Rattus norvegicus: one gene and its partners. The protein of the gene in region 2 binds, or shares a complex with, the protein of the main gene of each other region. Links are inferred from orthologs where the notes say so. Each region holds a gene or a part of one and is shown on either strand. Other genes may lie near its edges. The genes, in order: Ednrb, Edn1 and Ednra.

Region 1 (9,993 bases), on a different chromosome or scaffold from region 2:
CCGGGCTTTTGATGTGTGTGCTTGGATTTGAACTCATACCCACAAGCTTGTACAGCAAGTGCCTTTTCCTGCTGAGTCATCTCTTTAGCCCGAAAGCCACCTTTTGACACTTAGAGTTATTTACTTGGAAAGTGGTACTTAATGTGTGACAACCATGAAAGTCAAACATTTTTCCTTGAGAACACAAATATGACAGTTGCCCACATGCTTGTCCTCAGATGTGACTAGTATAAGTGCCCCATAATCTGCTTTGTCTTAACACTGACCTACATTTCTTCCCAGGCCAATGAGTTTACTAGCCTAGCTATTTTTAAGCTACACATGCATTTCCGATATTGTTATATGATAAATTTATAAATTTATAAAGCATGGTTTTATTTTTCTACTTCTCACTGGAGTTTTTAAACTTTTAAGACTTTGTTCGGCCTGTTTGTTTTATGATAGACTATGGGTCTAAGGAAATAGGTTTTCTGTTTATGTTATGATAAACTCTATGCCCAGAGAAATAGCAGGGGTTTTGTTCTGTAAAGAAAGGAGTTGGCTTGGATAAAAGTTCTCTTCCACCACTAATGTCTGAGTTATGAATGGGTAAGGACATTTTCAGTGTTTACGATGAAATGAATTTTGGTTTTCAAGTAATGAAATACCAGGGACAGTGTTCATTCTCTTGCGAGGGGAGGCATGTTTTTCTTGGTGTTGCATTATTGAAAGAATGCCCGAATAGATGGAGGGCTGCCACGTTGCAAACATCTGGGTTAAAGTATGCTTTATTCCACATGCAGCAACATATTGCCACTATACATAGAAGGTAGAAAAGATGCAGTAGAAACTATTTTAACTTATTTATACTTGCTATTTGTGTGTGTGTGTGTGTGTGTGTGTGTGTGTGTGTGTGTGATGTATGTGATGTGACAGAGGAAGCCATTGAGTGCCCTGATCTATCCCCCTCCACCTTATTTCCTTGAAGCAGGGTCTCTATACCTGGAGCTAAGCTAGTGTCTGCCAGTCCCTAGCAATCCTATCACTAGAATTTTAGGCATGAGGGCAGTCACGCTTGATATCCTCCCTCTCCCTTCTTTGGTGTTTTGAGGTAGGCCCTTACTATGTAACTCGGACTGGCCTTGAAATCTCAGAGCCCTGCCGACCTCTGCCTTCCTTACCCAGCACAGCATGGGTCACTCTTCTCATCAGTTCTGGGGACCTGACCTGGACCGGCCTGCAGAGTGAGCCCTCTCACCCACTGAGCCATCTCCTAGTCCTTGACTTTATTCCCAAAGTCCATGAGAAAAAGAGATAAACTGACTTAGAACACAAAGCGCAGATGAACAATAAAAAAAGTCTACCAAGTTGGAGGAACACTGCATCTAACTGTGTTTCGTTCTTATTTGACCGCATGATAATGTTCATCAATATATGTTATTTTTTATTAACCTGATCAAGTCTAATTGTATCGGTGAGTGGCTAAGGTATCAGGGCATGGCTGACTCCTGACAAATATACAAATATGTCCTGTCGTGGAAATGCAATATTTAAAAACATCACATATATTACAAAGCAGGAAAAATTAGCAATTTTCCAGCTCTCTCTAGATAGGGATATTAGTGTTTTTTTAAAGCCCATATTGGATGCCAGATCACAGGATACTTTTTATCTTAGAAGAATCCCTTACCTTAAAGCAGTTTTTGAATCTCTTGCTCACCAAATACAGAGCGATTGGATTAATGCAGGAATTCAAAGAAGCCATGTTGATACCAATGTAGTCCAAAACCAGCAAAAAACTGCAAGAAACCCAAATGTGTCTGTAAAGATTACATTCCTCCAAGTGTGGATTTAATGCACACCTTTGTGTGTTTATGAAGAAAACCCAAATTACGTGCACGCAATGATTTGACCACCGATTTGCTTAACCACCGATTTGCCTGTAAAGCACCTGTCTGCTGCTCTGCCTGCCATTCTCTCTCTCTCTCTCTCTCTCTCTCTCTCTCTCTCTCTCTCTCTCTCTCTCTTTCTCTCTCTCTCTTTGTCTGTCTCTCTCTTTCTCTCTCTCTGTCTTTGGCATCTCCACTGCCTTCATCTCCCACATCCAGCTTTTTCTTTGAAAAGTAAGGTTCTCGTTTGGAAGTGACGGGGTGTTCAGAAGAGAGGGGACTGATGTGAACAGTGACATCTCGGATCTGACACTTTTCATCTTGTCACTCATCATTCTGACAACTGTGCCCACATTCCCAAGGTTTCCCAATCCCTCTAATTTACCCATCTAGAGCAGGAGTAAAGGGAAAATGGGGAGTCTTAATTGGCCTCTGTGGATAAGAAAATAGTATTCTTTCTGCCTATTAGACGGATTGATAATGGAGAAACATCAGGAAGACAATTTCATAATTATTTCTAGTCTCTTATTTTCAACCTAAGTTAGCACAGATTACTGAGTTTCATACATACATGTTATCACATACATGTTATGACATACATGTCATTGCGTTTTGGTCTTTCTTTACCTCTCCCCCTCAGCACCCCCTCCTACCTCCCTCTACCTTCCCCCAGATAGCTGCCACATTTCTTTCCATGTCACATGTGTTCTACTGTCTTTTCTTACCTCAGAAGTTCACACCTCTGAGGATTGCTCTGGTCATAAAGGGTGAGCTTCAGAATCCTGCTGAGGTGAAGGGGAAGCCAACAGAGGGCAAACACGAGGACCAGGCAGAATACTGTCTTGGCCACTTCTCGTCTCTGAAACAGAACAACGGATCCTTATAAAGCTAACACACACTCTTATCACAGAGATACTTAATCGTATTCACACAAATAAAGACTTGGGCCAATGAGCTTTCAGTTAGATAATTAGTGCGACTTAGACCTAAAATCGCTAGGGATCATGTTTTAAAACTAAGGGTTTGGGGGAGTGGGATGGACAGACAGCTCAGCAGCTTAGAGCACTTGTTTTGCAAAAGAAATAGGTTCGATTGCCAGTACCTCCATAGTGGTCAATAATCATCTATCACGCCAGTTTCATAGAATCTGATGCCCCTACTCTGAACCCCATGGGCACCAGGCACACACACACGCACACAAGCAAAACATTCACATACATAAAATAAATCTAAAAATATATTATACAACCATTTTGTGTGTGTGTGTGTGTGTGTGTGTGTGTGTGTGAGAGAGAGAGAGAGAGAGAGAGAGAGAGAGAGAGAGAGAGAGAGAGAGCATGCACGCATATGTGAGTGAAACTGGAAAAATAGCACAGGTCTGTACTACCATCATTTGGGAGTCAGAAGCAAATGGATCTGGAATCCAAGGTTATCTCTGGCTACATGCTGAATTCAAGTCTAGCCTGGGCTAATTGAGATTCTAGCTTAAAACAACAGCAGAAGGCAATGATTCTCTTTAGATCATTGTAGATGATATAGTCTCTAAACAAGTAATATAAAATGTTTTTTTGTTACAGAAATAGAATGAAGGATGAAAGTGAAAATATGTTCTAGTGTCTAATATTAGTTTATCATCATTTTTGGTGACATCATCATCATCATCATCATCATCATCATCATCACCATCACCACCATCATCACCATCATCATGACTTCCATCTGACCATAGTTAGGGCTTCCCTCTACTGGATTCTCCCATCCTCTTACCTGCTTTAAGTGGTCATTCAAGGCAATCTGCATACCACTTTTCTTTCTGAGCATCTCACAGGTCATTAGGGTGTAAAAGATCGCAGTGATGGCTAGCGGCAAGCAGAAGTAGAAACTGAACAGCCACCAGTCTTTGGCTGTCTTGTAAAACTATGGGAAGAAAGAAATGTTTATGATTAATATCTCCTGCTTAAAGCACCTTATGTATCAAATGTCAACTAAAAATAAAATATTCATCAAAGGACAATGATTTTGGTAACGTCTTCCGTCTATGTACTGTATAGAATTTCATGGGCCCTGTCTACTGAACACATAATTAAAGTCCTGCATTAAATTAAAGAAATATTACAGAACATATTTCAATTCTTTGGGACAGTATAGTAACCTGTAGGCAGCTGAGCAAAATTCTTATGTGTAGATAACACTGAATAACCAGGTATTTCAAATGTTAGGTGTTAAGTATATAAACCTATTTCAGTGTTAGGTGATGTTTTCCCTTTCTATTAAGTGTGTTTAGTGTGAAAACCAGGTATGAAGAGGTCTGTACTGGCCATTTAAGTCAATAGTGTCTACATGAAAGGTCAATCAAGAGTTACACTTTTCCTGTGTTCTTTTCTACTGTTACCTTTCAGAAAACCTTATCGATTCAGATATATCTACGTTGGAAAGAATTTTATGTCCCCAATGTGCTATATTCCCCTTCTGGTAAACAACAACCTCTTCTCAACTCTGCATTGGTGACCCACTTTGCTCCTTCACTGATTGTCGAATGTGTAGCTCATAAAGTTTTTATAGTCTTTTACATGTAAAATAGAAAATAATCCTTGGTTATATTCAGACCAATCAACCCCCTTTGTATTAACCAATCCTGCCTAAAATAAATCTTATACTTAGGATCTATCATTTGGAGACTAATATCCCCATGCTTTCCTATTTTCTGATCAGAAGTTCTTTAGTAGGTGGCCAAAATTTGATATTATTTTGCAAGACAGCTTTTCTTTTACCGTCAGAGACGAAGGGTCAGGCTGCTGTTCCAAATCTACTACAATTAGGCAACTTCTATCTAAACATATGTTAAACCATCTGCTTCTCTGACAATGTTGGGTTGTCTTGTGTAGACTACACAATAATAATCAATCCTGTGGGACCTTAGACACAAAAGCCATAAAGTCACAGCCATTCTTGTAGGAACTTGATTTATCTGGATCCCCAGGGTGTTCTTGGAGGAATAATTATCCTGACTCTTGTAGGTCGGGTCATTAGTGATGGTTAACCTCACAGTCTTGGGATGCAAACTCTTAATTTATGCCAGAGGTAGTAATAAATCAATAGCTTACCAAGGTGGGGAACTGGGGGAGATAGTTAAATATTTATAAGGAAAGTGCAGGAAGAACAGGCGAAGTGAACTTACCTGCATGAAGGCTGTTTTCTGAAAGGGATTAAGCATGCAGACCCTTAGGGGCTTTCCTTTGTAGTCCGACGTAATCACATCAAAACCTATGGCTTCAGGGACAGCCAGAACCACAGAGACCACCCAAATTAAAACAATTTCTACTGCTGTCCATTTTGGAACCCCAATTCCTTTAATTCGACTCCAAGAAGCAACAGCTCGATATCTGGAGACGTAAACAGAATTATCTCTCAGGCAGGTAGGGCTTGGTTATATTGAATTGCATAGTTCATCTCCTAAGTGACAGAGCAGTTATATGGTGGGTTAGGATCTCCTTGGCCTAAGAATGGACTCTTACCTGTCAATACTTAGAGCACATAGACTCAACACTGTGATCCCCACAGAAGCCTTCTGTATGAAGGGCACCAGCTTGCACATCTCAGCTCCAAATGGCCAGTCCCCTGCCAGCAGCTGCATAGAGGAGAGGTGAAGGGCTGTTACAAAGATTTTTCACAAGGCCGCCTCAGAACTGATCATTGAGGGCTGGTGATTAGCAGTCAGAGGGAAGGAAGAACTGCCCTTTGAAAAGCCCCTGTGCCCAATATAGAACACATTGGAAGTAATGCAAATGCAGCCGGTTTATGAGATTCATTTTGTGTAGACTGGTGGCACAATCAGGGTCTTGTCAGAAGGGCCAATGACCCAGTTGCTTAATGACCCTTTAGAACAGAGGGTCTCAACTTGTGGGCTGTGGCCCACTTGTGGGGGAGGAGTTGAATGACTCATTCACAAGGATCACCCAAAACAGTTTGGAAATACAGATATTTAAATTACGGTTCTTAACAGTAGCAAAATTAGAGTTGTGACATCGAAAGAAAAAAAATAAGTTTATGGTTGGAGGGATGTGTGGTGGTCACCACAACATGTGTGGTGGATGTATTAAAGAGTGAAAGCTTTAGGAAGGTTGAGGGCCACTGGTTTAGAAAATGGAAACTGGATATTTCACAAAGCTTCAGAGCTCAGGTAATGACCATGTTAGAATATAAGTTTTATTAAACAAAAGGTTAAATAGTCTTGAGAGGAGATGACTGGACTTCCCCTATTCTGCAGATAGCATTACGGGTGCTCAAGGTTTCCTTTTTTTTTTTTCCAATTATTCTTTTTTTCCCCTTGGATATTTTTTATTTACATTTCAAATGTTATCCTCTTTCCCAGTTTCCTGTCCATAAACACCTATCCTATCCCTACCCCCTTTCTTCTATAAGGGTGTTCCCCTCCCCAACCACCCCCCTTCCTGACTCCCTGCCCTGACATTCCCCTACACTGGAGCATCCAGCCTTGGCAGGACCAAAGGCTTCTCCCCCCCACTGGTGCCCATCAAGGCCATCCTCTGTTACATATGCAGCTGGAGCCATGTATAGTCTTTGGTAGTGGTTTAGTCCCTGGTAGCTCTGGTTGGTTGGCATTGTTGTTCTTGTGGGGTTGCAAACCCCTTCAGCTCCTTCAATCCTTTCTCTAACTCCTCCAATGGGGACCCCATTCTCAGTTCAATGGTTTGCTACTAGCATTTGTCTCTGTCTTTGTCAGGCTCTGACAGAGCCTCTCAGGAGACAGCCATATCAGGCTCCTGTCAGCATGCACATTTGGCATCAGCAATAGTGTCTGAGTTTTGTGACTCTATGTGTATGGGATAGATCCCCAGGTAGGGCAGTCTCTGAATGGCCATTCCTTCAGTCTCTGATCCAAACTTTTCCTTCATATCCCCTCCTATAAATATTATTGTTCCCCTTTTTAAGAAGGAGTGGAGCATCTGCACTTTGGCAGTCCTTCTTCTTGAGCTTCCTGTGGTCTGTGGATTGCATCTTGGGTAAGGTTTTGTTCTCATTAGTAGTTTACTTTACTAACTCAGCCGCACCACTCCTTAGATGCACTGGGTCAGTGTATGCCTGCCACAGGGCATCTGGTCTATGCTACTTTTTACCCAGTCTTCTCATTACAGATGGACATGTGCCCTCTCACCTCCCTCAGGACTTGCTCAGATCTCCTCTCCCCCAGAGGACCTACTTAGAACACGTTGCCCCTCCAACCACGGGCCAGGCCTTCCTATCTCCTTCACCCTCCTCCCTTTATTATAGTTCTTAGCAGCTCTTACTGCCTATAAAAGATACTTTATTGCCTGTTTAGCTTCTGCTCTCCGACTCTCTGAAGTGTAAGACAGAGTATGAGTTCCTCAGTTGCTTCCAATGGTGTCTGACATATAGCAGACACTTGGCAGACGTTCATGCTGCCGAAACGCATAGGTACTGAATGAAAAGACACAGTCCATTCTCTTTCCATATTTATACATATATTTCTCTTTATCTGGCATCAACAACTGCTGTTAAACGGAGCTGTTTCCCTTCTTAGACACTGGGCTCGCCACACTGGTAAATGAATCACTTTAGGTAGACATCTGGATCTAATATTCATGAGAGTTTGTAAATAAAGAAAAATATTTATAATCTGTGGGGTCTTGAAAAACTCTTTTTTTTAAAAAAAAAATAACCTTACAAAAGCGAGAGCTATCCTGAAACACAATTGGAGATTTCTGCCTCGTTACTCCAGGGAGTGTGTGCGACAAGCTCTGTGAATTGTTCTGTGACCAGCATGGCCTCACAGGCGACAGTCTGTCTCATCACGACTGAGATTGGAAGAATGAACGTGAGTCCAATTTAATCTTTAAATTAGATATGAAAAGTTACAGAGATACATGGGGAGACTTCCTGCATATGTACTTCATATAGGGGTTGGAAACTGACAAGGCTGTGGACCTTAACAGGCAGGAAAGGGCCATTGCAAGCCAGTCACTGACTTCAGGAAGGTGATGTCCAGGAGTGGCGGCAAGGTCTGGGATAATCTTTGTCAAATAAGCCTCAGATGCTATTTGTCAGGGAACCCCACATATGAAAATTCCCAACTGAGATGGTATCCAACAGAAATAGCCCTATTATGGGATGTGAGGTGTTTTCTCAATAGGCTTCCCAGTAAGAATGTCTCTGAAGAGACAACACAAGTCTGTAGTTGGTTAAAGCAATGAACACACCAGCCGTAGAGTAGGCTAGGAAAAGGACAGGAAAATGGTGTGATGGTAATGTTATTTTTAAAAGGTAACTTGTTGCTCAGAATGTGGTCAACGAAAGGAAAAAAAAAATGACTTTGTACCTTTGTACAAAATGGCAATAGGCTGGGCCACGTGCTGCCACGATAATCAGGCCCTCGTGCTAAAATGAATGATTTATATTTTTGCCAAAAAAATAAACCAAGCACTTTATAGGTAGTTTACAAGTTTGGCGTTTAGAACTGTATATTGCCAAGTGGGATACCAGCTATCCACTGGGGATAAGAATTCCAGAAACCTTGGCTCTGTCAAAATGTGTGAGGCTACCTACCGGTTTTATCCCTGTGATGTGCCCTTAGATTGTCCACAACCGTGGCCGGAGGGGCGTTTGATGCCCAATAGTTACCCTTCCTAGTTGTTACTTTCCCTGTGAACTTTCTCCGAATTTCTATTTCTTTATGTTTTCAGCTTTACTGCCTATTAGGAACCTGGCTATTATTTGACTTTTGTATGAAAATACAGCGAGCTAGTCAGGAATTCTGTGACCCACGGAGGGATGGTTGGAACATGCACACCAAGTCAGACACCAGAAGCATCGGAAATGCTGTTCGTCCTGGAGATTTCTCAAGATTTTCTTCTCTGGGGGAAATTGGCCCAAAAGCCATTTGAGCAGTGAAACTTCCGAGCTTCAGTGTTTTCAATCTGAGCCAGTTGTGTGAGCTACCTGGGCACTAGGACCACAGAATTCTTCCTTCCTGTTTGTATCTGGTTTTTATACACATGAGCCTTCACAGCAATTCGACAGAGGGACTCTTGCTTTGAGGAACTATGAGGAACTACTAGGTTTCCTCTTTTGTTCCTCTGCTGGAGCGAGTTGTTTCAGTCTATCTCCAGGTCTCGGTCAACTCCAGTTTAGACCTGAATTGCAGCTCTCAGCTATGGGTTGGACTGACTGGTTTCATTTAGGAGCCTACGAAAGGAAGAATGGTCGTCCTTGGTAATATTGTTTGTACTCAGTATACTTCAGAAGGAGGGCTTTTGGTTGTCACCACGCAATCAGAATTAGGATTGTTTTGCAAGATAGAAGGCAAATGGGAAGGAGCGGATTATGTAGATGGCCCTGTGTTACTTTATCGAGTGAGCCTGCTCAGTGCAAATGCACAGTTGTGGTTCAGCAGGCGGCAGCTCCAAGATGAAGAAATAGCTTACGTTAAACTTACCAGAGGCTCTGTCTCCATGGGTTTCTCAAACAGACGTGGCAATTGCTCTGCCCTAACTCTCACTCCTTTTGGGCTGGTATTCAGGCTTCCATGAACATTATAGTGGTTCTCAAGACCCAGTGGTTCTTGAGAGGGCAAGGGAGAACATAGACCCCATATAGTAGATCCAACAACACTCCTGCTAGACCCCAGGCAGCCAGAGCTCCCTGGGGCAGAATCCAAGTGAGGTGTAAATACTTGTAAATTGTGATGCCCATCAATAGGAGAAAAGTTAAAACATCTTCACATGTAAACATCGCAAATAAAATTATTGGGAGGAACCCTCAGAATTTTTGAGGTGCACGCATAGGGCATACCAGTGGTACCGAGATTCTAACCTTGTGGTTCCAGAAAAACAAAAAATAAACGTGACTTTCATCAGCCCCAGTGCTCTCTCGATAAAAAGAAAGTGACAGAAAGTGAATGGCACTCTAAGAAGATGGATCTTACAAATAGAAGTTTCTCTTAAGGCTTACGACAGCAGAGACAAGGCAGAGGATTTGGAGAACAGTGGAAAATTCAGAGACTATTCTAGTTACCGCACCAGAGAAAGACCTGACTCTAGGAAGGGAAAGCTCAACCATTGTCTGTTTAAATTATGAATTATGAATT
Region 2 (10,093 bases):
CAGAGTTAGGGTTTCTCAGCATTCCTGTGGTGACTAGGCTTGGAGGTTTGTGCTTGTAACCTTAGCTCTGAGGGTCAGAGACAGGTAGGTCCTGGAGCCTTACTGACCAGTCGGCCTAGCCAAAGGGTGAGACCTAGGTTCAATGAATGACCGTGGGTCAATAATGAATAATGTGGAGAGTGACCTAGAAAGACACTAAATACCAACTCTATCCTCTACCCATACATGCACATAAATGAAGCCCATAAACACACACGTTCTAAAATTATTCATGTAAGAGAAGCAATTTTGCTAACAATAAAATATTTTTAAAACATCTACCCATGTCACACAAATGCGGCAAAGCAAACAAACAAAACAAACAAATAAAACAACATATGAAAGAGATTTCCTGGTGACTGAACTTCGGAATAACAGGTCAGAAAGTCTGAACACAACCTTTTAAACTAAATATAAGACATACTTCGTAATTTTTTTTAATGCATTGGATAACTTGATTCGGGCTATCTCATTTCCGGTGGGATATTAACTTTTTTTTTTTTTTTTTTTGGATTAAAGGGAGAAAGACACTTTGTCTACTCACAGCTCCCACGTGCATGCCGTGTGGCCAGGGCACAATGCACAATGACTGTAATGTATGGCATTTCATTGTACATAGCACAGTCACCACAGGATTAAAGCAGGCTCAGTGTCTGCATAGCTTCACCTTGCCCACAAATAAGTTAATTTCCACTCATTGTTGGGCAGTCGGCTCTTCTCTTCCCTGAGCAAAATGCAACATCTCACTCTAAATTTATTGGCTTGGCAAAGTTGCAAGTTTCGTTACGCAAAAGCTGAGAAAGACCAAAGTCGAGGAGTGCTAAAAACAGTACACTCTGCTACTGTGTAGTCTCTGTATTTGAGGCTCAGGCTGTTTTATTTATAGCTATCTATTAATATGCAGCCAAAGATACAGAAAAGAAAAACATAAAAACAGCTTTATCAGACAGTTTTCCCCGCATTTCAAGGGTACATCTTAAGCAGGAACAAGAAGGCCAACAGGGAGCTGTTGTGTGACAGGAAAAACCCATCTTCCTTGCCACTCTTCAGGGTGATGGGCTGCAACGAGCGTTCCCCTGGGGACTGTTTTGAAAAGTGGGATGGACTCCGGGAAGGCAGCCCCCACCCCTAGTTATAAAACTTTTGTGCATGTTTATGCCGTTCTTCTGGTCTTTAGCCTCTCTAATAGTAATACCTTAAGTGGAGGTGGGTGGGACCATCGAGCTTGTCAGACTGGTTTGCCGCCTTCCTTTCTCCTCCCCCTGCTACTTGGCAAAATTTTATCTGGTGAAGCTGCCTAGTGTAGCCTAGAGCTTCCCTCTCTGGGCTTGAGTGAGGATTCCTCCTTCCTTTCATGGGAAGAAAAGCGGGGTAGGGGGCTGCTGTAAGGGACAGAGATGGAGAGATGGGTAGAGAGGCAGAGCCTACCCTTAGTCCCAAGCACATAAAAAAGGGACATAGGTGCACAGACATGTACATGATGCATAAACACACAGAGGCCTAGGGAACTCGGGACAAAACATAAAAGGTAGACCTGGAAAGATGGGACCCTCCCGGGGCTACGATCTCGGTTTTTATTTGCGGTTTCCTCTCGCTGAGCTTTAGAAGAAGAGAGTCCGAGTGGATGGCCGCCAGAGTTTACATTTGATTTTCGAGCACATGTTCAGGGTGGTATGGGTAGGCAACAAGAGAATGGGCAGTAGAAAAACATGTTTGCTTCCCTTCTTTCCTTGATGCTGGGGCCACCGGTATCTCCAGAGGTCCCCCAGCTGAAGAATGATGGCCCAGGCTAGACACTGGAGGATGCCTTCGAGAACTGGGTTGGGCATTTCCGGGGCGGAGCTGAGGACAGGTTGGTCCTGATAGTTGCCAGAGTTTGGTCAGATTGGCCAGGAGGTCAGAAAGCGGTGGGGGTGGGGTGTACATTTCCCAGCCACCTTTCCCCTGCCGGTGGGAAGCTTGGACTTTGGGTAGGTGACATCAGCTCTCCTCTCCTCCAGGTCCCCTGAGGAGCTGGGGTGGGATGAGCTGGCTTCCTGTTGGGGCCCAGTTCTAGGGGTAGCTGTCACCTCCTGGCCCCCACCCTCCGGGGTAGGTCTGAGGTAAGCAAAGCAGAGGCAGAAGCTTACCAGTGGCCCTGGGCCTCGGGTGTGGGTGTGGGAGGGTTGCTGGTTCCTGCTTCTCCAATGTCTCCAGCTCTTAGTACAGAGTCTCCTAAGGGACAGAGTTCTCAGTGACCTAAAGCTGCTGCTGTGTTGTCTCCCCTACCGAGATTTCCAGAGAGCTCACTAGGCCTAAGCATGTCCCTGTCCACAGCTTGGGAATCGCTATCAAATCTGCCTTTTGATTGTAGAGTTGAAGAGCTAAATGAATAGTTGCGTGGGGTGGGTCCCTGTGTGGGTCCCGTGTTAGAAGTGAGTCTCTCTTGGCATCTACTCCCAGGGAAAATCGGAGTAGAACAAGAGGGATGAAAGAGGGACCTTTGCGGTGGCATCCTCACATCTTGATTTAGATCCTTTATAGGGAAACCATTGAGTGGATCCCGCGTGTTGTTTCCAGCTTTTGGGCATTCTGGGGGGTCCTCCCTCTTCCTCCCTTGAAAAGTGAAGCTTATTGAAAAAGTCAATGTGCTTTATGTGTGTTTTGCTTTATTCATGAAGACATGTTGTCACTTGTACCTTAATAACCCATGGGCACCCGGGGGAGGGAGCATTTCATGGCAAAATAGACAGGAAACTGTTTGGAAAACGTAAACACGTTATTAAACGGTGAGGTATGATCTGATCCACTTACTCAGTCAGCATAGGCAGTCCTCCCCTCCCCACGCTCTCCCTGTAGCTTCCTAATCAGGCACAGGACACTGGTTCGCCCCAGTGTGCAAGCAAAGTGGGGCGGAGGAGACTGGGAAGTCAGGGAAGGGAATAATGGAATGCCCTGAAGTCACCTCTCCTTTCGTCTGTGAGGCGCCCTTCTCTGCCCGGCCGCGGCTTGTTGCTAATCATTTAGAAGCCAAGGCTTTAATTGTTTTATCTTACTAAAGCACAAGCCCCTGCAGCTCTTCGTCTCCCCCTGGTGTTCGTTCCTGCCATTTCTCAAGATTCTTCCCGATAGCGCGCGCGCGCGCGGGGGGTGGGGGGGGGTGGGGGGTGCAATTCCCAGGGAGAGGCTGGGCACAGGAAATTTTGGAGGGGGGAGAGAGTGGGGGGGTCCTTCTGATCGGCGATACTAGGATGTGCCTGACGAAACCATATTGCTGTTGTTATCATTGTTCCTTAGTTTTCCCTCCTTGCTAGCTCCTGACGGAATCCTTCGCACCTCCGTTGCGAAGAACTTCAGTTTAAAAAAGACTTGGGGGAGTTTGGAAAAGTAAGCTGATCTCCCTAAATAATCTGGTCTTCCTCCCGCCCCCACCCCAAGTAGCAGGGAGTGAAGAACGAAGAGGGGGATCCTCCCCTGGTTTGAATCCAACTAAGAAATCAGAAAGACATAAAAGGAAAATCAAGTGAACAATGATCAGCCCCACCCCCACCCCACCCCCCGCGCGCACAATACAATCTATTTAATTGTACTTCATACTTTTCATTCCAATGGGGTGACTTTTCTTCTGGAGAACCTCTTGATTCTTGAACTCTGGGGCTGGCAGCTAGCAAAAGGGGAAGCGGGCTGCCGCTCGGTGCAGGTTTTGCAGAGGTCTCTGTCCAGTGGGTGTTTTCTTTTTCTTAGCCCTGCCCCTGGATTGTCAGACGGCGGGCGTCTGCCTCTGAAGTTAGCCGTGATTTCCTCTAGAGCCGGGTCTTATCTCCGGCTGCACGTTGCCTGTGGGTGACTAATCACACAATAACATTGTTTAGGGCTGGAATAAAGTCGGAGCTGTTTACCCCCACTCTATAGGGGTTCAATATAAAAAGCCCGGCGGAGAGCTGTCCGAGCCAGACGCGTTCCAGCACTGGCGCTGAGAGCCTGACTGGGTCTGCTCCGCTTGTCCTCGAGCGCTGCCTCCCGGGCTGCCCGCGACGCTTTCGCTCCGGTGAAGGGGCCACTTTTTGAAGACCGCGCTGAGATCTCCAAAAGCCAGAGGCGATCAGAGCAACCAGACACCGTCCTCTTCGTTTTGCATTGAGTTCCATTTGCAACCGAGTTTTCTTTCTTTCTTTTTTTTTTCTTTTTTTCCCTCCTCTTCTTCTGATCCCTTTGCAGAATGGATTATTTTCCCGTGATCTTCTCTCTGCTGTTTGTGGCTTTCCAAGGAGCTCCAGAAACAGGTAGGTGCCACTTGCGAATCTTTCTGCTTCAGCGCAACGCCGTTCTCGCTTCTGTTTTCCACTTTTCTTTTTTCTTTCTGTCCTTTTTTTTTTTTTTTTAAATTACTGAAGCTGGAGCAGCAAGTGCCTTGCAATTACTTCTGTGTGCCAGCGAAAGGAATAAAACTCCTGTTTGAATACAACTGACTACAACCGAGTATCACATAGCTTTAAAATAACGTTGTAGCCGTATCGCTGAGTGGCTACAGCTGAGGCAAGGATATATTTGAAATACGTGTGTTTAGGGTTGCATGGTGCATTTAGGAGCTTATTCAAACGCTGTCTTGATAGTGTGCTAATGTGTAAAATACTAAAACACTCCAGCTTAAAGCCAAGGAATTTTATTCAGGTCATGCAGGCACAACGTGAGCAGTGAAATCACCTGCCGATCAACCGTGCGCTGAGTAACCCCGCAGGCGGTTTCAGGGCGAAGCACATGCTTTCTTTAAAATTTGTCACTATTGACTTAAGGTTTCATTTGGCAGGTTTTTGGCATCCTCAAACAGCCTGAGCTCTATTTCAGTAGTATTCACCTGTCCTGGGAAGGGAGCCGGGATCATTCCTGCCTGATTAAGGAATTAGACAGTATGGGCCGCTTCTGGTTCTTTCTCCTCCCATCCTGTTTTTTTAGGGTCAGTGCCTTCTTTTTGTCTTCACCTGACCCTAAGCAAAGAGAGAGGTTGTCAAAGGGATGAAAATCCTGGAATGTGTCTGATCGTTTGAAATGAACAAAATTGGGAAGAGAAAATGCACGACCAAATGGTCAATTGAAAGAGGCTAGCGATGCTGTGTTGGGCCAGAGGGAGGTGTCAAGTCCCACGCAAGCTGTGCGGCCCCAGGATTCTGAACCCAGAGTACTTCCCTGGCTCCCCTGAGCTGTACCTTCTCTTCCTTGAGTGGCCACTTATCTCCCACCTGCAGTGACTGTTGTAAAGTCAGTTTCTCTTCGGTGTCCAGGCATTTTCTGGAAGTTCTTGCTTTCTGCCTAACATAAAAAGGCACCCATATGCAACCTAGATCATTCTGTGCCCCTACACGAGCTGGAATGGGGTGGGTACCCCTAAGGAGGTTATCCTGAGTTGGGAACGTGGCTCCAAGGCTGCTAGGAATAGACGGTCTGTCTTATTTACTTGTGGCCACCAGCCAGCTTAATCTATGGGAGTTGTGCTAGTCTAAGTCTCAGGTATGGACTTCCTCAAAATTCCATTTTGAAGCGTCTTCAGAAGACTGGAAGAGTCCTTTCCTAGCTGTTTCTCTCTCTCTCTCTCTCTCTCTCTCTCTCTCTCTCTCTGTCTCTCTCTCTCTCTGTCTCTGTCTCTGTCTCTCTCTCTCTCTCTCTCTCTCTCTCTCTCTCTCTCTCTGTGTGTGTGTGTGTGTGTGTGTGTGTGTGTGTGTAATCTCCCTGCAGGTTGGATAAGCCAGCCAGGGTAAGGGTGAAGTCCTGTTAAGCACGGAGAACAAAGAAGTCTCTTTCTTTCTGTTTGTGTTTCTGGCTAAAGGCAGTTTTATGCCTTGTCTGCTTCTATTTGCGCTGCTAGATCTGGCCTGAATACTTGGATGCAGGTGCTTGCTCTGGACGCCTGAAGAGAGATTCCTACTAACCCGACCCTCTGTTCTCTTCACAGCTGTCTTGGGAGCAGAGCTCAGCCCCCGAGCTGAGAAGGAAGTGCAGAGCCCCCCTCCCAGCACATCCTGGAGACCCCGCAGGTCCAAGCGTTGCTCCTGCTCCTCCTTGATGGACAAGGAGTGTGTCTACTTCTGCCACCTGGACATCATCTGGGTCAACACTCCCGAGTGAGTCTCTAGAGGGCATTGTAGTCCTAGCCATCCTCTTACTGCTGGGGCTTTCTGGAGCTGGGAGACCCAGCTGGGGTTTCTGTTCTGGGAGGTTTCTGGGCTTTTGCATTTCTGAAGGCAAAAACGTGCCTCCCAGGGGGAACAGTGCTGACTGAGACAGATGAGCTTAGTGGTAGCCATGTAGGAGAGGGTCTTCTGAGAGGCTCAGAGTCACACTGCTTACTGTGGGATGAGGGCAAACAGGAAGGAATTGTGCATTTGAAGACAAGAAAGGGACGGAAGAACGTAGCGAGAGGCTCTCGATGTGGACTTAGGGATCAGTAGACCAGGTCCTATGGAGGGTAACATACCTATACTTCTCAGAGAGGCTCGCTGAATCTGTTCCAGACATACAGATGTAATAGGGAGTTATGACATATTTCCTTTCTTTTACTTATAGGAAAACTAAGAAACACAATGTTGAAGCCCCTTGCACAGGAATGAGCTGGGAGTAGGGCTAGAGCAGGGAACTGAGCTTCCTGTTTCTCTCTTTCGTCTTTAGAAAACTGTGATCCAAGGCAGAGCTCAGAACAGCGCCCATAGGTTTCTCTTGTACCTTCAGAGTGAACAGAGGCTGTTTTACCCTCAGCCCCCAACACTAGTCCACTCCTTAGGAGCAATCAGCAGAAAGAACAAACACATTTATTCTGTCTACAATGGCTGGCCAAGTTCCAAACCAAACCAGACCCAAACCACCGAGGACCTAATCCTTAGTAGTGTTTCTACCAAGGGGAGGACTCCGTTTCTTGTTGAGTGAATTGAAACGGACTCATTGCAAGTTATCGGAGAGCATTTTGACACTAAGTCCTTCACAGCCATTCAGTTTTACTGAACTCTAGAGCAATGTGCCAAGGTGCCATGCTCCACCAGGCAGCGTTGCCACACATGACTGAAGTAGAAAACCTTATGTTTTGGTGTTGCTGGAGTCCTTCTGTTTTCTGGCCCCATGACCCACTTGACACCAGAAAAGAAAGAAAGCACAAAGCAGAAACCCAAACAGAGGTTGTAATCTGGAACAAAACTGTGTCTAGATGAAATGGAATATTGTTAAGTATTGAAATAGAATTTCATTGATTCAGAAGGAAAGCTGATGTTTTCCCATTTAGGGGAAACATACACTGAGGACCACTGATGGGCAGACAGGCCAAATGGCTTCCGTACTTTGGTATCATGAGCTGTCCAAATGAATGCTCTCTGAATTGTAGGCCCAAGGAATTTGAAAGATTATTAAGTAGGCTAATATCTTTTCCTTCTCTCTTTCCATAACAGGCGCGTCGTCCCGTATGGACTAGGAAGCCCTTCTAGGTCTAAGCGATCCTTGAAAGACTTACTTCCCACAAAGACCACAGACCAAGGGAACAGATGCCAGTGTGCTCACCAAAAAGACAAGAAGTGCTGGAATTTCTGCCAAGCAGACAAAGAACTCCGGTGAGTGGAAGCCCCTTGGAGTTATCCAGCCTGCTGGCCTGCTCCCTCTCAGATGGTCTTTCACTTTAGAGAAAGGAGCAGAGACATGGACAGGCAAGGTGAATCTCAACAAGCCATCGCTAAAGTGGTTTTCCCTGTCTGTCTTCACAGAGCCCAAAGTACCATGCAGAAAGGCGTAAAAGACTTCAAGAAGGGAAAACCCTGTCCCAAGCTGGGAAAGAAGTGTATCTATCAGCAGCTGGTGGAGGGAAGAAAACTAAGAAGGTAAGAGGCTCATGGGGACTCCTGGCCCTGGATACCAGTGCTAATGGCTCCCTAGTCCTTCCCACTGGGAGAAAGAAAAGCTTGAGTACAGTAACAGAGTCGTCATGGTCTGTGGACTCAGAGGAGCAAAGGGCTCCTCAGATACTGGGGCCTTGAGTGCAGACGCCTGCCCACTGTGTCTTAGCACACATTGTTCAGTCTATGGATGGAGCTTCCACACTAAGACAGCTCTAGAGTTTGAGCATGCCCAGTCTTTTCTCCTCTGGTCTTTCATTTTCTGCTTGCCTGGAGAAACTGAAAATCATGCCAAAGAAAAAGACATTTAAAATATTTATATATGTTACTCCAAGAGTGCTAGTGATTCAAATGGCCAAAGGGAAATAAAGCCATTAGATAAGGTTGGTGAGATTTAGAACATGTTGTTTTTCAGGTTTATTCCGTTACTATTGTTGAAATATGGAAATTTGAAGGGCCAGGTGTCACTTGGCTTGCTTCCTGAGGCCCAGGAGAGGGCTGGATTAGGCAATGCCACAGGGTGGCAACAAGCAGCTTTTTTGGTGATCCTTCCAAAGGCTAAACTTTTTGAAACTGAGAAGGACCCTTGTTCAGATCTGTCATAGGCTCACTCCTATCTCTAGAAGTGTCCCCAAGTCATCCAGGGTCAAGGCGTTCTGGGACCAAAGTGTTCTGAGCCCAATGTGGCCGTGGGGAGGGACTGCTGACTTGGTTACTGCTCCTGTGTGGGGACAGCCCCTCTTAGCTCTTCCTTCGCACCCACCACTGTGGGGTCCCACCAGGTCACAGTTGCACAGCTGACCTGAGGCTCAATACCTTTTTGTTACTCTGTCTTCCATTAACTACGAAAGTGATGCTCCAGTTCTTTATGTGTCCCTTCTCATATGTGTGCGCGTGCACAGACACACACACACACACACACACACACACACTGACATTGCACAACCCTTTAAACTGTCACTAAGCACTCGCTTAGGTCTCCCTGTAGGCTCCCTAATTTTCTCTCCATCCACCTGTTAGCTTCCATTTCTTCTGTGGTTTAGAAAGTGCCAGAGGGTAGGATGACGCTACTTAAGCAGAACATTTGGAACTTAACTCCCTGTAGACATACTCACAGGCTTCCTCTCCACAGCACCAAACAGCATAGACAGCAGGGTCTATTCACACAATAGTCGTAGCCGCTGCTTGAGGATTTATCAAAGAGGCACCACATTGCTACAACTGGTGCAAAGGGCCAGGAACTAAGACTTAGTGCGTTTGTGCCAGATTCTAATTTTAGACATTTCTTTAGCCAACGAGTGATTTGTTTCCATCTCTGTGAGTGTGTGTTGAATATTTTCTCCTCTCTTGTTTTAATAGGTTGGAGGCCATCAGCAACAGCATCAAGACCTCCTTTCGAGTTGCAAAGTTGAAAGCGGAACTCTACAGAGACCAGAAGTTGATACACAACCGAGCACATTGACTACAGAGCCCCGTGGTGTTTTGGAAGCCATGACTTACATAGAGCGAGCCCTATGGCCAACTCTGCGCTCTCCATGCTGGCTGGGATCTTAGCAAGAACATCTGTCCGGCTTCTACAGTTTCTTGTTCAGACTGGCAGAGGACCAGCGTCCTTGTTCCAAACATTCCAAGAGAGGTTGAGGTGTTCCCTAACCTGTCTTCGTTTGCATCCGCTGGTAGCAAGTGATTCTCTTGCCTCTTCTTGCTGTCTGGGGATGGCCTCGGACCTCTCGGAGAGCAGAGACACAGTGCCATTCCTGAGTGGCATCATCCAGAGAGCCAGGAGATTCCATAGCAGGGCGGAGTTTCTGTAGAAAGTCCTTAGGGAGTGTTCGTGTCTGACTCAGGCGCCTGGCACATTTCAGGGAGAAACTCCAAAGTCCATGCAAAAAATTTTCTGAGGAATGCACAAATTGAAAACATACTCGAAGGACAAACACTTGAGTTTTTTTTTTTTAAGGACTTTTTTTTAAGTTGTAAAATGCAAAACTCAAAGCAACTGTTACTACTGTACATTAGGATATGTTTCATGAATATGAGTCTACCTCACCTTTCTGCACTGTCCTACACATTCTCACCTTTAATTATTGCCTCTCTATACGCTCTCTCCTCCGCTACCGGGTTCTCCATCCCCCTATATTGAATCCTTGCCTCACAGAAATCGAGTCAGAAGTAGCTGAAACATTTCTGCGCTAATCTGCTAGCTCTGA
Region 3 (9,993 bases), on a different chromosome or scaffold from region 2:
ATGATGCCAGCACCTCCAGTTGTTGATTGGTACCCTCCCTGATAATCTCAGAGACGAATCCTGGGCCAGAAAGCATAAGGTGGTTTTCAGAGGTGCACCCCCTTTAGACTTGGACCTGCTCTCTCCCTGTCCTACTTGTGGTTTCCCACTGCTATATAAGAAGAGGGAAGCACAGAAGTGGTTGAGCCGAAGAGACGGGATGTGGACAAAGTCACACTCTGGCTTGGGTCTGTTCCCTGCAGCACACGCTTCTTCATTCTTTATCTTACTCTGCTGTCAGGACCAGGCAGCTGGTTAGTTTTGCTATCCCTGTTTCTCTTTGATAACCAGATACCCTCAAACTCAGTCGTTTAAAATAACCATTTTATCAGATCTCACTATGTTATGGAACGGGAATTTGGCCACTTCTGTACCCTGTCACTCCGGGCTCCAGCCCTTAGCAGGGTCAGCTGGAAGTCTTGAGGCCTCTCAGCCTGGCAGGACTGTGGTGGGAGCCTATCAGAGGCCAGTCCTGGAACAGGCTGACATCAGAACCGTCCACAGAAGTGCACACATTGGCATCTCCCCTTCACCCAACTCACGTGGTTTCTTGTGAGAAGACTCTCTGATAGGATTTTCCCTCCAACCTCTGGGTGGCAGTGGGTTTGACCATCGTTTAAAGATATAAATCAGAACTAACCATCACAAATGACCAGTTGCTCTTAATTAAAGACAGCAGTGGTGCCCCTTCACCTTCTTGAAGTAGCAAATTTGAAGAAAAACTCATGGGTTTCGGTGTAAGCAAGCATCTGTCTAGGCAGTTCCTAGATACTGCATTTTAAATCACCTGATCCAGCATGCTAAAACACAGCTGTCATGCGACTGGCCGGGAGACTGAGGCAGGAGGATCACAGAAGTTAGAGGCTAGAGTGACTCCCAGCCAGGCTGGGTTGCCCTGTGAGACTGTATCTCCAGAGCAAATGTGTGTTGGCTACCTCTCATCTCCTGGAGTTAACAATTCTACTGCTGATCATGCATCCAGGAAAGTTGCTCACAGTGAGAAAAAAAAATATCTCTATGTACAAAGGTGTGCTTCACTCCTCTGAGAGGCTAAACATGACTCATGAGAGAAAGATTGGTAGAAATGAGATCAATATCGTGCCATCATGTGCAGCCATTGAACTACAAATGCCACGTCTGTGGGAGAGTGTTCTCATGGAAACAGCAAAATACAGTTATAAGTGACGTGAGTAAAGGCTGTGTTCAAACTATGCTTATGGGAACAGCAATGACCAGGGACTGCTGGTACACACCCTTAATCCCAACACTCAATCCCAACACTTAATCCCAACATATCAGTCAGACTAAAGGCTGCTCAAATATAAGAAAAGTAAGTGTGTGTGTGTGTGTGTGTGTGTGTGTGTGTGTGTTAGAAAATAAACTTCCAAGAAAAAAATTCAACGTTGCAGCATTTAGAGTTTCACAGTTCCCACAACTTCCCCATGTCTGTCCACTGTCACAGGATGTCGTCTATTGTCGCTCCTGTAGTCATTGCCTCATCTCACAAAGATGTTAGCGAGATCAACATGATTACAAATGGAAAACATTCTGATTCTTCGTGAGATGAGTCAATAAAAGACTGGACTGGTTATGGGCCATTTAGTGAAGTATCTGCTAAAAACCACTTCTGTGTATAGCAATCTATATCAGCATATATGTATCCGAGTGTGTGGTGTGTGTGTGTGTGTGTGTGTGTGTGTGTACACGCCTGTGCATGCATGCGTGTGCATCTGTGTGCCCATATGCATGCTGCACATGTCTATGAACACACACACGTGCATGTGTGCACTTGTGCGTGCACACGTGTGTGTGTGTGCGAGCGTGCACTTGTGTGTATGTGTACACATGTGTGTGTGCCAGTCAGACTTACTTGTGATACCATATGAAATGAAGCTAATTGATAAACATATTCATCACATTGTCTTACTTAAGCCAAACCCTAGACACCAGCTAAGACACCTGCTTATTACTCTTTTGTGAGGAGAGGTGTTTTGCTTAAATCACCTAACTGAGGTGACGGAAGGGGACAAGAGGCAGATGCATCTTGGCTCTCAGTCCTGAAACACAGACATCTGGTCTCCACTCCAGCTTTTACTGCCAATCAATAAGCCACAAAGAAGAGAAAATAGAACTGGAAATCAAAATAAGCACCAATCTTTATCCTACTGTAAAAAAAAAATATGAATTTTAGGATAGAGTTTGTACTCTACAAAAGGGTTTTCATGGTCTGTTCATAGAGCTGCATTTTATTCCATTCTGAACAAACCTGGGGTTTTTCCAGGCATTCTTATGCATGCAAATCTTACTTACCCTAAAAACATTTTGCAAACCACTTCTCCAGAAGATTGAGATGCGCATCTATCATGTGGTATCATTATACTATACAAAATATATACTGTATGGAAGTTTACATGTTCTAATCTCTAAGCAAGTCTGGTAAAGAATGAGGAGTTGTCATTCTTAGGAGCCCTGTTTCACAGATGCATACTGTGTAGACATACTGTGTGAGGTGGTGAGCAAATATAAATGACAGGGAGTTCATTTGGTGAATGTGGGTGACTTGTGCATAGCCTTGGCTCATTAATCTCGAGCAGTCAAATGTGCATCCTGCAAACTCAAGCACACCTGTATCCAATGCTTTGGTCTGTTTAAAGCCTTCTTCTGTCTGGCACTATTCAATGAAAGCTATAAGAAGAAAATGTTTCCTTTCCATTACAACAGGAAGCAAATTTTCAAATGAATCCACAAAAAGAAAAAAAACAAAAAAAAACAAAAAAAAGTCATTAAAAAAAATAAAAAGGACCACGGTGTGTCTCAGGTCTTCTCTTTACAGTCTGTGAGCATCCAACCAGAACATCAAATCAAAGAGCATGCACTTTCTTCAGACATTTAAGCATGACTGCTGCCAAGGAAACATTAAATAACCAGACATGGTGGTACGCAGTTGCAAACCCAGCACTTGGGGAGTAGAGCGAGAGGATCAGGCACTCAAGGTCATCTGAGGAAATGATTTGAGTTGTAGGCTATCCTGGGCTACGTGAGACACTGTCTCAACTCATACATATCCCAAAAATATTGAAAACGAGAACTAAAGTAAGCACGGTTTCTTAATGCCAGAGGGCTATTTATATCCCATCTATCCACACTTGTGCCCTACCATCCATGTCAACCATTCTCGTCTGTTGGGTTGTTGATCTGAAGGTTAGGAAGGAAGATATCTGTAATTCATATTCTCTGGCACAGGTCTATAATGGGATAGATACTTACCAGATGGTGTGCATTGAACCTGCCACCTGGTAAAGTCCAGTCTGATGGTGTCTTGGAGTAAAGGAAGGGAGGAAATGGTGAAATAGGTGTGGTCATGATTCACTCGGGGATTGAATACTTCATTGGTAATGTTTCCAGTTTTGTTAATAGATCAAGAGAAGCCAGAGCCAGGCAGTGGTGGTGCACACCTTAAGTCCAAGACTCGGGAGGCAGGGCCAGGCCGATCTCTGTGAGTTTGAGGACAGCCTGGTCTACAGAGTGAGTTTCAGGAGAGGCCAAGTTTTAGGATAGCCAAGGCTACATGTTCCCCAAAAGCAAGTATATAGAGATATAGATAGATGATAGATAGATAGATAGATGATAAATAGATGGATGGATGGATAGATGATAGATAGATAGATAGATAGATAGATAGATAGATAGATAGATAGATAGATAGATAGATAGATACACACACACACACACACACACACACACACAGGACATCCTAGCAGCTCTCACTACCTTACCTGTATCCCTCTTCCCCCCACCTTAACGCACACAGGTACACCTACCTCCTGGTGCCACTTTCTAAAGGCACTAAAATTTTATTTTTGCCATTATTTATTTACTTACTGCCTTACTGACAATTTCATACACATATACAATACATTATGAAAATAGTAACCTCCCCATTACCCTCTCTTGTCCCCTCCCCCTCTCCCTGAACCCCTTCTTCCTGACCAGTCCTGTCTCTCACCTGCCCCTCAGTTCAATAAATGTTGCTTATGAGCTTGGGCAGATTGGGCAGATGGACAACTCACCAGTGGCCACATTGCTGAAGAAAATGATACCACCTCCCTCTGTCTGTCACCACTAACAGCCAATGGTAGCTACTCAGGAAGGGGTGGAGCCTCATGGGTACCACCCCTTGATAGACGGCTGAAGGGCCCAGTCCTGTGAAGGCCTTAAACAGACCTCCATCGCTGCTTCATGTTCATGGTTGCCGCACCCGCATTATATCTGGGTGACTGTGTTTTATAGCACTCGTAAATTTTAGATCTTTATAGATTTTAGACTCAGGCCTGGCAGGCCGTTTCCAAATGGGCAAGCTGGTTTGCTTCGTTTTATTTTATTTCCCATCAGGGCTCACAGAAAATTCCTCAAAAGCCAATGGTTATACTTCTGTCCGGGGAAGGCATTTTCCAGTCAAAATTAGTTCAAAATATACTAACAACGTGATTTACCCCCCTTCTTTTCTCTTCCTCCCTCCCCCTATCTTCCACTCCTGTTCAGGTACAGAGCAGTGGCTTCCTGGAGCCGGGTTCAAGGAATCGGGATCCCCTTGATTACCGCCATTGAAATTGTCTCCATCTGGATCCTTTCCTTTATCTTGGCCATCCCAGAAGCAATCGGCTTCGTCATGGTACCCTTCGAATACAAGGGCGAGCAGCACAGGACCTGCATGCTCAACGCCACGACCAAGTTCATGGAGGTATTGATCATGCACGCAATTCACTAACCACATCAAGCTCAGTGTTTTAATTTAAAAACGTCCTAAAGCTCAAACTGAGTTAGTTGGGGAGGGGAGGCACTGTGCACTCCACTGTCTTGAGGCCTGCTACCATCTCCACAAGGCTACTGTGCTGACTGACTGCCTGCCAGACAATCCTGACCTGTGTGTAGCTTCCTGAATAGAGCTACTCTGTTATCTCCCCTCTCTTCCCCCCCCCCAACCCCCCGGAGCTGGGGATCGAACCCAGGGCCTTGCGCTTAGCGCTCTACCACTGAGCTAAATCCCCAACCTCATAGCACAGCGATAGACAAAATCGGCTTTCTGTATCAAAGAATTATTAGTAAGTCTCGCTTACTAAGAGAGACTACCTCTGTGTGTGCAAAATGTAATTTGCTTTTATGATTAGCAGATACACACAAGACATTCCATCTGATAGCCACGTCGATGTTACTTGAGGAAGCACAGCTAGCTCAGATATATTCCTGAACACAAATCTCATTTGCCCTAAAGATTTTTGACAGAACATTTCTCTGACAAAATGAGCAGAACCTATGCCCTGTGAGGAATCATTGTACAGCCATGAAACTATAGGTTCTGATCTAGAAGCAACTTTGGTAAGGAATTAGACATCAAGATTCCTCCGAGTGGGCTTGCACTGCACATATGCAGCAGTGTTTATGGGGCTGATATGAATGCAAACAGACTCAAAGGCTGATATCTGAGAACACATCAATCAATCAATCAATCAATAAAAGAACTCAGGAAAATTGGCAAATTGGCAACTTCAAAATCAAAACCATTTTCTTATTGCCTTTTAAGTAGCTCAGGTTCCACAATGAAAAACAGGACAGGTGGGTGACCCGGCCCATGTTTAGGGGATGGCAGACAAGCATTCTAGACTGCAGCAAAAGGCATTAGAGGAGAAATGGTCCTCTACAAAGGCACTTACTGGTCCCTGGAAAGGGACAAAATCAAACAGGTGTTGCCTCAAAGCCTGCGATTCCTGTGTAAGGGGCTTGAGGAGAGGGAGGCCAGGCGCTGGCAGGTTCCCTCGGGCTGAAATCTGGGTATGAGTTAAACTGGTGAGATTTCAGGTCACTCCAAGTCTAGAGTACACTTTTTTCTAACATAGCTTTCTATCTTTTTTAATGTTCCTTCCTTCCTCTTTGCCATCCTCTAGCCTGTCCCAAGGCCCTTTCCAGTGTCTAGCTGAGGACATCAGTTCAGAAACGAAACTGCGTGACCCCTTTCTCAGTAGGTCCCTCCCACGGGGGAGGGGGCAGGGTACTCCATCCTGCGCTGTCCTGGGTCACCTTCCAGACCCCAGGCAACAGATTGTGGGCCATATCCACTCAGCCTGCAATTCTGTGGAAAGAGGCTACAAACACTGGGTGGGTGAGGGAGCAGAGGGGGCGGGGAGGGGCTCAAAGGATGTTTGTGCTTCCAAACAAGGACAGAGGCCAGATGCTCTATGTTCTAGTCAGAGATCCTTCTGCAATGGGGTGGACTAGGAAAGATCTGTTAATAAATGGGAAAAAACTAATTCCTTTGGGAGTTTGCACTTAATGCAGGATAGAATTCAGGGTCTATGAACTTGGATGGGGAAAAAATGTATTTGTTTTCACTAAATTTCCCATAAAATGTATTATTTCCTCTGATTTTAAATATAGATAATAAGCCACTATATTGTTTAAGGGTATCATGGCTTTTTTGAAGAGAAAAAGTGGCCATCTTAAAACAGTAATGTTCAACATTTTGGTAGGTTTTTTTAAGTCATTATATTATTTAATTAGAACTACGTAATGTGTAATTTGTTGATGAATACATATCTTTACCAGAAGTTTATTTTCAGTACTTTGCTAGCTCCATTTCTGTGTAATTGATTTCCATTGTGGACACATATATTTAAATGTGTGCTTATTAAAATATAATGTTGAGGTCTGGAAAGTTAGTTCAGTTAATAAAGTGATAAGATTCAGTCCCCAGAAGCTATGCAAGAAGCTGGTCAGGATGGCACAGGCTTGTAAAAACCAGTGCTGGGAAGGAGGAGGACTGGAAAGGCCCCCATGTGAGACCCTGACTCAAAAAACAGGGCAAAGGGCTCTTAAAGAATAATACCTAAAGTCATTCTGTCCTATACACATGAACACATGAACACATACATGCACACATGCACATGAACACATGAACATGCATAAACACACAAAATATTGTCCTCAGAAGGAATTCTCACTCTCAGCAGATTTCCAAGGGGGTTTGTGGTGGTTACAAAGACTTGCCTGGACTTCTGTCTTCTGGAATCATTTTCAGATTACTTAAACAGTCATAAAGGGCTCCTGTTCATACAGAAGCTGTCAGTATTCAGGGAACAGGGTGATCCTATCTTCAGGAACTGGTCAAACTATCACAGGAAGCCATGTTAGCCTCCAGAAATAACCTGGAGAAAGAGCACAAGGAAGGAAAAAGCGTGTCTTCCCAAGGTTGAGGAAAATTCATTAGAAGAAAGAGTTGAGTACCGTTCTCCCTTTTTGATTTTTATTCTCCATTAGAAAGACAGGAAACTGGACATTCTGGGTTTATATAAATCCTTGCTCACAGAGAGAGAGTGTGTGAAATCAGCCTTTAGCTAGAATGCCTCCCCCCTCCGCCGTTGTTTCCAGGTGGCAAGTATTAAGAGAGAGAGGAGTTATTGCTGGCTGAGCTGGCTGACTCTGGGGTCACATAGCAGACATACCAGGCAAAGGGCTAACTGCAGTTACACAGATAAGCTATTCATTGAGAGCCTTCATGGTTCCTAAATGAGGCACTCATGGTAAGTACACTTTAAACACAACAATCAAAAAGTCAGCCGATCTTATCAAAATGCCGAGGCTCATCAATGAACATGAACGAAATCCAACCCATTGTATGAACTTTAAGAGGAGGCTCTTTGTACTGATTCATTGTGCAGTAGAAATCAGTGTGTCGGCTTCTTAGGACCATCCTTCTAGGGATAATTAGACCATTTTAATATGCATTTTTTTCATGTGGTACAGCTCAGCAACATAGCACTTGCCTAGTGTGTGTGAAACCCTAGCTAGGTATGATCCAGTGTTCATGTGATAACATATGATTCAGTGATTAAATAAAAAAAAATACTGAGCACAAATGCAGGTCTTCACTGCTGACAATGAGGGAGGGTGGATATATTAACCGTATCCACGAGCGCAGAGACTGTGGGGTGAGCAGGGTGCTTCACAGTTAGCTTTCATTCCAATGTCCCATCTCCCCTCTTCCTCCCTGGACAGTTTTACCAAGACGTGAAGGACTGGTGGCTCTTTGGATTCTACTTCTGCATGCCCTTGGTGTGCACAGCAATCTTCTATACCCTCATGACCTGTGAGATGCTCAACAGAAGGAATGGGAGCTTGCGGATTGCCCTCAGCGAACACCTCAAGCAGGTAAACCCAGTTCATGAGAAGGTGGCCAAGGCCTCTTTGACTCCTCAAGCCAGGGTTGTACTGATCATTTATTTGCACACTTCACTAACAAGGTACAGTTGCCTACAGTATGCAGTATCCTAGGAACAATAGGCTAGACCACACAGTCTACTGTGAGATATTTCGTACCATCCAACAATGCAGTATATTCTATGGCGTTGTGCAGTGTTAAAATTGTCAAGCTACACATTTCCCAGAACCTCTCTGTCATTGAACAACACATGACCATGTGGTATCTAACAGATTTACCCTTATTTTCTAAAAATAAAAATGTTCTCTTGGAGCTGTTTCTTTATATAGCCTTAGGAATTCCTTTGGGGGAAGTGGGCTCCTGCCTGTGAACCAGATGGCCACGGGGAGGCTGCGCTGAAAGATGGTTAACTTTTGACTATTTTGCCAAGAGTGTATTGAGCATGTGTGTATGGATACTCTCAGGAGTGCCAGAACAGAAAGATTCATGTGGCCATCTTTCTTTGTGGGGTCTGAAGTCTAGTCGTAGAATAAAATACAAATAACTAGACAACAGAGTGATGGAGTGCAGCCCAGGAAGCAGTACAGCATACAGCCGGGACACACAGCCATACAACAGACAGTCATACAGCACACAGCCCTACAGCACACAGCCGGGGCACACAGATGTACAGCACACAGCCATACAACAGACAGTCAGACAGCACACAGCCCTACAGCACACAGCCAGGGCACACATGAAGTGGCACTATGGGGAAACTGTCATGGATATGGGAAAGGAGGAGGAGGGAAGGAGAGTGTGTTATTTGGTGGGGAAGCAGAGGACAAAAGCTGCTTTAGTGGGAGGGGAAAGAGCCCTGGGAGAACAAGGAATGGACACCAGCACTCAGGAGAAGGAAAATGGACATAAATTTGATCCGAGGAGCATCTCGAATGGGACTTGTTATAGGAAATTTAACTGAAAACAGAATAAAATGGGTGAAATCTTGGAGGCCCAAACCTTTAGGAGGAATTTGACCACGCCAGTGTGAATAAATGTATCTTTTAGAAACTGCTAGAACAGTTATGTGTGCTTTGGGGCTTTAGAAGGCAAAACCTTACTCTTCCACTTCCTAGTCATGTGACCTTGGGCAGATTACCTCATGTCTCTAAGCTTCCAGTTCTCCCTAAGTGTATAGTAATACACATAAGGTACCTAATAGTATCCAGTTCCTAGTAGACAGTCAGAAACAACTAGTTTACGATTCATAGAGTTAAAGTAAGAGTGCACGTAAATTCTTGGTAGCACCGGGAAAGTATATACAAACATTTGATTACACCCACAGGCAGCACTAGCAATCCATGGAGTCCCCACAGCCACACATGGGCACACATTAGCACGGTCCAGCTCTGTGCTGACTTCCTCAGCCCCTCGTCTACAAACCGGCCATAATAATACATGAATCAGTGCTATTGTGAGACTCTGAGGAAGTGATGTGCGTATGTGTGCCCTGTAAGTTCTAATGTGTCACAAATGGTAGCAATTACCTTTGACTGGCAATAGTGTTTACTTTGAGAAGCTTTAGCCTAGCTTTGTTCAGGCATGAAGGTTGCAGATACTCCAGGGACAAAATTAACCCTTGAAGGCCAGATGGAGGTGGATCTCTATGAGTTTGGGGCCAGCCTGGTCTACATAGTGAGCCCCAGGCCAGCCAAGGATGAATAGTGAAAGCTTGTCTCAAAAGACAAAGACAAAAGAACAGC

What was found.
Region 1: the proteins of Edn1 (region 2) and Ednrb are in contact, whole or in part, in a cryo-EM structure (PDB 8XWP), measured with the Homo sapiens proteins. The link is inferred for Rattus norvegicus from reciprocal best matches to the Homo sapiens genes EDN1 and EDNRB. Residues at the interface, in NP_001403492.1 of Homo sapiens: Cys53, Ser54, Cys55, Ser56, Ser57, Leu58, Glu62, Cys63, Val64, Tyr65, Phe66, Cys67, His68, Leu69, Asp70, Ile71, Ile72, Trp73; in NP_000106.1 of Homo sapiens: Pro88, Pro89, Ile94, Glu95, Ile157, Asn158, Lys161, Glu165, Asp166, Trp167, Val177, Pro178, Gln181, Lys182, Val185, Phe240, Ile243, Met245, Tyr247, Leu252, Ile254, Leu256, Leu257, His258, Pro259, Lys270, Lys273, Leu277, Trp336, Leu339.
Region 3: the proteins of Edn1 (region 2) and Ednra are in contact, whole or in part, in a cryo-EM structure (PDB 8HCQ), measured with the Homo sapiens proteins. The link is inferred for Rattus norvegicus from reciprocal best matches to the Homo sapiens genes EDN1 and EDNRA. Residues at the interface, in NP_001403492.1 of Homo sapiens: Cys53, Ser54, Leu58, Asp60, Lys61, Glu62, Cys63, Val64, Tyr65, Phe66, Cys67, His68, Leu69, Asp70, Ile71, Ile72, Trp73; in NP_001948.1 of Homo sapiens: Tyr68, Gln72, Thr73, Lys74, Tyr129, Asp133, Ile136, Asn137, Lys140, Leu141, Gly144, Arg145, Trp146, Gln165, Lys166, Val169, Glu220, Phe224, Val227, Phe229, Tyr231, His236, Lys237, Thr238, Cys239, Met240, Leu241, Asn242, Gln252, Lys255.

Annotation. Positions count from the first base shown.
Region 1 is NC_086033.1:87,059,438-87,069,430, forward strand, and holds part of Ednrb (endothelin receptor type B precursor), read right to left. Parts: intron 5,497-9,993; coding exon 5,384-5,496; intron 5,252-5,383; coding exon 5,047-5,251; intron 3,786-5,046; coding exon 3,636-3,785; intron 2,728-3,635; coding exon 2,594-2,727; intron 1,779-2,593; coding exon 1,670-1,778; intron 1-1,669. UniProt on the Homo sapiens protein: Non-specific receptor for endothelin 1, 2, and 3. Mediates its action by association with G proteins that activate a phosphatidylinositol-calcium second messenger system.
Region 2 is NC_086035.1:22,660,643-22,670,735, reverse strand, and holds Edn1 (endothelin-1 preproprotein), read left to right. Parts: upstream 1-4,048; 5' UTR 4,049-4,237; coding exon 4,238-4,301; intron 4,302-5,965; coding exon 5,966-6,134; intron 6,135-7,445; coding exon 7,446-7,604; intron 7,605-7,754; coding exon 7,755-7,868; intron 7,869-9,242; coding exon 9,243-9,345; 3' UTR 9,346-9,937; downstream 9,938-10,093. UniProt on the Homo sapiens protein: Endothelins are endothelium-derived vasoconstrictor peptides. Probable ligand for G-protein coupled receptors EDNRA and EDNRB which activates PTK2B, BCAR1, BCAR3 and, GTPases RAP1 and RHOA cascade in glomerular mesangial cells.
Region 3 is NC_086037.1:47,184,185-47,194,177, forward strand, and holds part of Ednra (endothelin-1 receptor precursor), read left to right. Parts: intron 1-4,581; coding exon 4,582-4,780; intron 4,781-6,608; exon of another isoform or gene 6,609-7,238; intron 7,239-8,088; coding exon 8,089-8,241; intron 8,242-9,993. UniProt on the Homo sapiens protein: Receptor for endothelin-1. Mediates its action by association with G proteins that activate a phosphatidylinositol-calcium second messenger system. The rank order of binding affinities for ET-A is: ET1 > ET2 >> ET3.